Linked DNA regions of Macaca mulatta. The main gene of each other region encodes a partner of the protein of the gene in region 2 in a complex. Links are inferred from orthologs where the notes say so. Each region holds a gene or a part of one and is shown on either strand. Other genes may lie near its edges.

Evidence for each region. Proteins that work in one complex are often made in the same cells at the same time.
Region 1: the proteins of GDF5 (region 2) and TWSG1 are in contact, whole or in part, in a crystal structure (PDB 8BWL), measured with the Homo sapiens proteins. The link is inferred for Macaca mulatta from reciprocal best matches to the Homo sapiens genes GDF5 and TWSG1. Residues at the interface, in NP_000548.2 of Homo sapiens: Glu434, Phe435, Pro436, Ser439, His440, Glu442, Asn445, Val448, Ile449, Leu452, Ser455; in NP_065699.1 of Homo sapiens: Cys26, Lys28, Cys31, Ala32, Ser33, Val35, Ser36, Leu39, Ile40, Cys44, Gln45, Cys46, Arg47, Cys73, Val74.

What each region holds. Positions count from the first base shown.
Region 1 is NC_133423.1:80,333,704-80,337,899, reverse strand, and holds part of TWSG1 (twisted gastrulation protein homolog 1 precursor), read right to left. Parts: intron 2,455-4,196; coding exon 2,355-2,454; intron 1-2,354. UniProt on the Homo sapiens protein: May be involved in dorsoventral axis formation. Seems to antagonize BMP signaling by forming ternary complexes with CHRD and BMPs, thereby preventing BMPs from binding to their receptors.
Region 2 is NC_133415.1:88,241,575-88,245,020, forward strand, and holds the end of GDF5 (growth/differentiation factor 5), read right to left. Parts: intron 2,082-3,446; coding exon 1,207-2,081; 3' UTR 645-1,206; downstream 1-644. UniProt on the Homo sapiens protein: Growth factor involved in bone and cartilage formation. During cartilage development regulates differentiation of chondrogenic tissue through two pathways.

The DNA of each region.
Region 1 (4,196 bases), on a different chromosome or scaffold from region 2:
TAGAGATACCAAGAGGAATATAAGAGGACAGAGGAAAAGATACTTGTGCCCCCATTCTCTCAGAATTCACTACAAAACACTAAAGAAAAACAAGAAATGGAAACACTAACTCTATGTGTGGAGAAGCTAAGAGCTAAAGGTACCTGACTGAGCAGAGTCTCCACACAGGCCACGTGCCCCACGGAACCCTGAGGAGACTCAGGAGCTGGAGGTGCCAGTGTGGCAGAGGCAAGCCTATTCTGGGGGGTAGCTACACCTTCAGGCCCCTGTCTCTTCTTCCACAACTGGAGGAAAGGAGAGAGTTATTCTTTAGAGAAATTAAGCCAAAGAGGCCCTGGACTGGGAATGCCAAAAATGGCAAAGGATAGAGATGAGTATGGGAAGAAAACAAGGAAAGTAAATAAAAGTATGCTCACTGTTCACTGTGACCTCACCCCTCAGGTTCCCAGAACATTTGCAGCCTGGCAGACTGCCCCTTACCCCAGCCTCAACCCCAGCAGGAAACCGGGAAATCTTTCTCTAGAAAAAATGTGCAACCCTAAGGGGAAAGGTCTATAGACATGAAATAAGAGGGCTCGTCAGTGAAAAAGGCAGTTTATCCTCCAACCACCTTTTAGTGAGGCAAACTAGATTCCATGCCCTGCCCATGGATTAGGTACTCCCAGTCCGCTTTGGAGTACCTAAATTGTACAAAGGAATAGACAGCCAAGGGTCACCAGACACCTGAGAAAATGGAAACCATGCAAGGAGTAGAAGGAAAAAACTCAACAGCAACCACAAAACTGTGTAATTAAGAATTCCAGAAAGATAAGAAAAATATATTACATAAAGAACAAGAACAGTATGTTCCTTCAAAAAGGACAATCAGAGAAGGGCTCTTGGAAATTAAAAAAGGAAGTAAAAATTTAAAAAATTAATACAAGGGTGAAAAGGTTAGGAAATCTCTCAAGAAGTACACCCAAAATACAGGAAGACAGATAATGGGATAACTCATTTAATTAATTAGTGCTGACTTTATTATGCATCCCATGAATATATATCACTAATTCATTAGAGTGATTCTTAAAGTAAATACTGATTTCACTAGAAGGAGTGATAAAATCACATTAGGAAGATAAAGAGATAACAGAACTAAATGCATGTCTACCATAAGAGGAAGTCAACTGATAGTTTCTAACATCAAAGAATCAAGAGAGTAGTATAGGGTTATTATTCAGAATTCTGGAAGAAGTGCAATGCTGAAAAGTTGTAAGTGGTAGTCTCTGGGCATAGGATCAAAGGCTTGGAAAGAAGTGAGATGGGATTGTTTTAGTACTATGTGCCTTAAAAACTATATGCATATAGCCTATTTTGATAAAGGATAATGTAAAAAACATCAGTATGACTATATTCCTGTTCTGAAGGAGTTTATACTCAGTTGAAAAAAACATGCAAAACAACGATTATAGGAGCATGCAATAAATGATCTCTCAGAAGCACAGAGGATCGTCTATCTCAGTCAAATAAGGAAGGTTTCCAAGGAATGGGGATACTTGACCTGGGGTTTTAAAGGTTGAAAATGAGTTAACTGGTCAGAGAAGGGCTGACAGGTGTTTCTTCTGACACACGTAAGTTTTCTTTCTAACACACAAATGATAGCATTCTATAAACATAATTTTGAACCTGGCTTTTTTTACTTAACACATCTTGGGAATGTTTCTTCTTATAAAACCTACTTCTTATTAAAAACAAAATAGGCCGGGCGCGGTGGCTCAAGCCTGTAATCCCAGCACTTTGGGAGGCCGAGGCGGGTGGATCACGAGGTCAGGAGATCGAGACCATCCTGGCTAACATGGTGAAACCCCGTCTCTACTAAAAATACAAAAAAACTAGCCGGGCGTGGTGGCGGGCGCCTGTAGTCCCAGCTACTCGGAGGCTGAGGCGGGAGAATGGCGTGAACCCGGGAGGTAGAGCTTGCAGTGAGCCGAGATCGTGCCACTGCACTCCAGCCTGGGCGACAGAGTGAGACTCCGTCTCAAAAAAAATAAATAAATAAAATAAAAAATAAAATAAAATAAAATAAAATGCTGCTGCTTATAAAAAATTCAACAGTATAAAAACTTTCAAAATAAAAAGTTAAAAATTCTGCCTTGGCCCCCCACTCCTACTTCCCAAGGATAAGCATTTTTAAATACATGTATAGGTAAATACTACTGAATACAACTGAATGTAAAAATACAATGTTCTGTATGTTTACTGTATCTCCCACACATACTTGTTTATACATATAAACTACATTTATATTCCTCAAAGTCTCTTAAAAACAAGGATTCTGTGATAAGAAATATTAAGAAGTTTCCCTTGTATCAACTTACCGACACAGTCACAGCACTCGTCCCAAAGGGCCCCGAGACACAGCATGCACTCCTTACAGCAGGAGCAATTGCCTTCGCCCGGCCGGCACTGGCAGAGCTCCTAGAAACAAGGCAGATGTTAAACTTCAAATTCCAAATAACGATATAGAAAACTGTTACTTTTTAAGCAAAAAACCCTGCCATATTTGCATTTACAGTAATGTATTCTTGACATAATTTTTTATTCAACATTATTAACTATTCATCAGAACATAAATATCTACAATGTCACATAGATTTTTTTTTGGACACATTCAGTGAACATACTTTGAATGCTTTAACCATATTTTGAAATAAGGAAAATATTTTATTTTATAACCCATTACTTGACTACCCACACCACCTCAACGAATAATTCAGTACAAGAACCAAAACTGCTTCTCAGCTATTATACTCATTGCCCAAATTTAAACAAATAGCCAACTTGTAGGGTTTCTCAATATGTAAAATGTGAGTAAAAGAAATTCGGAAATTCTATTTTTACTGTTCCATGATACAGAAAACAGTGTGCTTGGTATGGTAGATTATTTACAAAGAAGGTGGCAATTATTTCCCTCTCTAGGTCTCCCCTCTTTGCAATGCAGCTTCACAGTTCCTCTGATCAAGGGACAGGGTCAATTTCTAGACCTCTTGAATTTAGGTGATCCTGAGATTCACTCTGGTCAACAGGGTTTGGTGGATATGACATTATGTCACTTCTGAGTTCAGGCCTCAAGAAGCCTTGAGTGCATCCACTGCTTCTCTTAGGACTTTGCCCAGCTGCCATGTGAAGCCAGGATATGGCCATGTGGACAAGTCAGTCCACCTGGGGCCATCCTAGATCAGCCAGCTTCCAATAAACCAGCAGCTGCCAACAGACACGGGAATAAGGCTAGAAAACCACCCAGCCGATCCAGGCTCAAACTGTCAACCCACAGAAACAAGAGCTAAATAAATGGCTATTGTTTTAACCCACTAAACGTTAGGGTGGTTTGTCACTCCACAAGAGCTAAGATAGCTTGCTCTGTACATGAAGTTCTAAAGTAATTCCTTTAGCACTTGCCCCTGCCCTCCCCTTGCCATCAGATTGCCACTCCTGAATAGACCCAACTGAAATGGAAATTCTGCAGCCACCACTGATTACTTGCTTTCCCTGGTTTAAGATACCACATATATTTATAAGAAAAACATTAATATTTTATTATTTTGGTGGAAATAACTTATGACAAAACTGATTTTACTCTCAGGCTTAGAAGGAATTTCACAGGTCAACAAAACCATCTTTCTATGTAACAGCTGAATCGCTTCTATAATGTTCCATCAACATATGGCCATTGCAGCCCACAGCTGACAAGGAATTTAATAACCCAAAATAGCCGGTCCCAATCTTATAAAGTTTTAAGTGTTTTGTTTTGTTGAACTGAAGCCCGATTCCCAGAAGCCAGGTCCTTAAGACCTCCCTCCTCCAAATATAATTTCTCTTCAACAAAGCCATTCTAATTTTTCATGGCACCTGCCCTGGACAGTTTGGAATGTCTGCCCTGCTTGGCTGCCGCCTGCCTTTGATTGCCAACCTGCCTGTCTGCAGCTCTGTTTTGAACTATATGACCTTTTTTCTCCCTGGCTACAAATAATTGGAACAGAGGTAAAAAACAGACTGTAGCTGGTCAATCAGATTGTCTTCTAAGATTTTGGAAGTAAGACACAGATAACTGTCAATCTCTGTTAGGAACTTGAACTAGGGGATGATACAAAGCTGAGGCTGGGGAGGCCATTTCAAAATAAGAGGTAAAAAATTATCCTGTGGCCCCCCCATTCCTATTT
Region 2 (3,446 bases):
ATAGAATGTGTAATATAAAGGCAGGGGGCTCCAATTCTGTTTCTGGAGCTGGGGGCTGATGGGTAAGCAGTGAGGGTGCCAAGCTGGAGGGCAACAGAGCCACAGACAGGGTCATGTGAGGAGCAGTGGTTACTGGTGAGAGGACATGCCCCAACAGGGAGGAGGAGAGCCTTGGCAGCCCAGATTTCCCAGGGGAGAGATAGAGGACTCTTTCAATGGTGCCCAGGTAATTCTGTGAGTATGGGGGTGGCAGGGGCAGGCAGATATTGGTGAATGATGTAGGAATGATTTTAGAAGAAATGAAATCCCCAATTTCCCTCCCTTTTAGGGATCTATTTTGGAGACAACAAACGTGACTAAGGAATGTCAAGAAGAAAATAAAATTCTGTTGCCAGGCCCTAATGGAGAAAATAGAGCTCGGGACCCAGGGGCCTTTGGAAGGAACAGGAATGGGGTTAGAGGTGAGCACTGGCCCTGCTAAGCTGTACTCTCTGTCCCATTCTGCTTCAGTTTCCAGGAGTGGGGGTGGGGATGGGGCTCTGAAAACTGAGTTTATACATGAAGCAACCCACCTCCCCTCCCTGGGTCAGAAATTCTTCAACGGGTCACTGGGTCCCCTGGAGTAAACAAGAAATATGCCACAGTTTTAGGCACAGTTTTGCTTTTTATCTCATCAATATACATTTAAATCTAACAGTCTAACAGCCCCACACTCCTCAACCCTGTCCAAGCCCTCTCCTCTTCTCTCCCACGCTTGCCCAGTCAGCTTCTCATCTGTCCCAGGGATAGGAAGTCACCAGGCACAAATGTGACTTGAGGAGGCAGTGGCACCTGTGGCTCTCCCGAGAGGTGCTTAGGAGAGTCCAGAGGCTGAGGAGGCCCAGGTGAAGAGAAATGGTGGGCTGAGTCTCATTGGAAAACACTGTCTCCTGGGACTCAGTCCCATTCAGAGTCTGTCTCCCTGGGCCTGGGCCTGCCACTGGTCACATCAGCAGACGGGCAGCAATCCTCAGCCAGGGGAACTTGTGGATAAAAGGGGGCCTTTAGCCCAAGTCACACTCGGAGAGCGAGCAAGCTTATTGGAATCCACTTTCATGCAAGCTGTGTAGATACTCCTGCCACAGCTTCCTGACCCCTCTGTGATTCCAGGAGTGCAGGAAGGGGCTCTTGGGATGTGCCACCCAGGAAGACAGAGGGCCAGTGCTGCTACCTGCAGCCACACGACTCCACGACCATGTCCTCATACTGCTTATACACCACGTTGTTGGCAGAGTCAATGAAGAGGATGCTGATGGGACTCAGCCGCGTGGGCACACAGCAGGTGGGTGGTGTGGACTCGGGGTCCATGGAGTTCATAAGGGTCTGGATGACTGCATGGTTCGTGGGCTCCAGGTGGGAGCGCAAAGGGAACTCGCACAGCCCCTCGCAGTGGAAAGCCTCGTACTCAAGGGGTGCGATGATCCAGTCGTCCCAGCCCATGTCCTTGAAGTTGACATGCAGTGCCTTCCGACTGCACCGAGCCTTAAGGTTCTTGCTGGGTCGCTTGCCCTGGCGAGTGGCCAGTGGGGCCCGCCGTTTTCGCCTCTGGCTGAACAGGTACTCATACACTGTCTTATCGTCCTGGCCAGATCGGGCCTTAATCTCATTAAAGAACAGGTCCCGTTTCTTGGTGCGGCCAAACACCAGGAACAGGGCCTTCTCGTGGACCTGCCGGGCGGCACGGTCGAAGCCCAGGCCACGGAGGTCGACGGCCCGGCCCCGTTCCCAGGCCTCCAGCTCCAGGCACAGCTGGGCCGAGTTCTTAAAGTTTCGGAAGAGCTTCCAGATGTCGAACACCTCCCAGCCAGATCCGTCCAGGCCTGGCACGGAGCGCACATCCAGCAAGGCGGCCGGCTGCCGGCCGCTGGGGCAGCTGGACAGCTTCAGCTGGGCAGCCCGCCCGCCTACGGGGGCCGCTGACTTGGCCGTGTCCGAGGGTTTCTTCCGCAAGATCCGCAGCTCGGCCCCCAGCAGCCCATCCTTCTCCAGGGCACTAATGTCAAACACGTACCTCTGCTTCCTGACCACGGGACCTCGGTCATCTAGAGAGAACACCCAGAAGTCATTCCCTGCAACCTCACCAAGGGAGTCAGTCACTTCGAGGCTGCAGGGGAAGGCCCCAGCTCTCTCCCCGTCCAGAGAGCTTTCTTTCACCTCTGCCCCATTCTGACAGAAGCCAAGAGCCAAACCACTGAGAGCCTTTTTCAAAATGAGAGCACCTCCTATGTAGCCAACCAAGTAGGGGTGTTCACCTGTAGATGTGGCTGGGGATGATTTGCCTGCTTCTGGTGTTTGTGTCATGATCTACATGTTATCAGATATTTATCAGCCTTGTAACTGCCTTCTACCTCTCTCTCTCCCAGCCATGAGCTAACGTGGTATCTCATTTGCAAGATAGGTGGAGTGGGCATTAAAATTACTCTTGTTGACTGGGCACAGTGGCTCACACCTGTAATCCCAGCACTTTGGGAGGCTGAGGTGGGCAGATTGCTTGTGCTCAGGAGTTTGAAACTAGCCTGCACAACATGGTGACACTCTGTCTCTACAAAAAGATACAAAAACTAACCAGGCATGGTGGCGTGCACATGTAGTCCCAGCTACTCAGGAGGCTGAGGTGGGAGGATTGACTGACCCCAGGGAGGTCGAGGCTTCAGTGAGCCATGAATTCACTACTGCACTCCAGCCTGGGCAACAGAGAGAGACCCTGGCTAAAAAACAAACAAACAAACAACAACAAAACAAATAAACAACAACAACAAAAAAAACCCATGCTTTTCTGGAGGAGAATCCCAAGGTTCAGAGAAGTTAGATGACTTGCTCAAATTCTCAGTTGCTTCCACCATCCCTTAAAGGAGACCTTAGTGCTCTTGTTTTACAGATGAGGCACAGAGATGGGGAGTGACTTGACTAAGGTCACACAGCAACTTAATGTCAAAGCTGGTCCACACTGACCTACAGCCCAATTTTCCTGGCTTCCCAGTGCAAGGATTTTGTTGCCTATGTGTCTTACTCTCCTGAGTGTGTGCGTGTGTTACAGTTGTATGTGTGTGTGTGATTGGGTTCATGTGTGAATATGAAAGAGTATACGTTAATGTTGGGTTCATGTGTGAATATGAAAGAGTATACGTTAATGATGCATTATATGTATAAATGATTGGGCTTGTGTACTATTTGAAGAGCACATATATGTATGTATGTGCATAATCGATCTTGTGTACACGTGTATGTAAGAAGGTGTGTGTGCACATGCGTACGTGTGTGATTCGGCATGCGTGTACATGTGTGATTCGGCATGTGTGTACATGTGTGGTTCAGCATGTGTGTACGTGTGTGAGTCAGCATGCGTGTACATGTGTGATTCAGCACGTCTGTATAAACATAAGGCTATGTATGCTTATGTGAGAAGC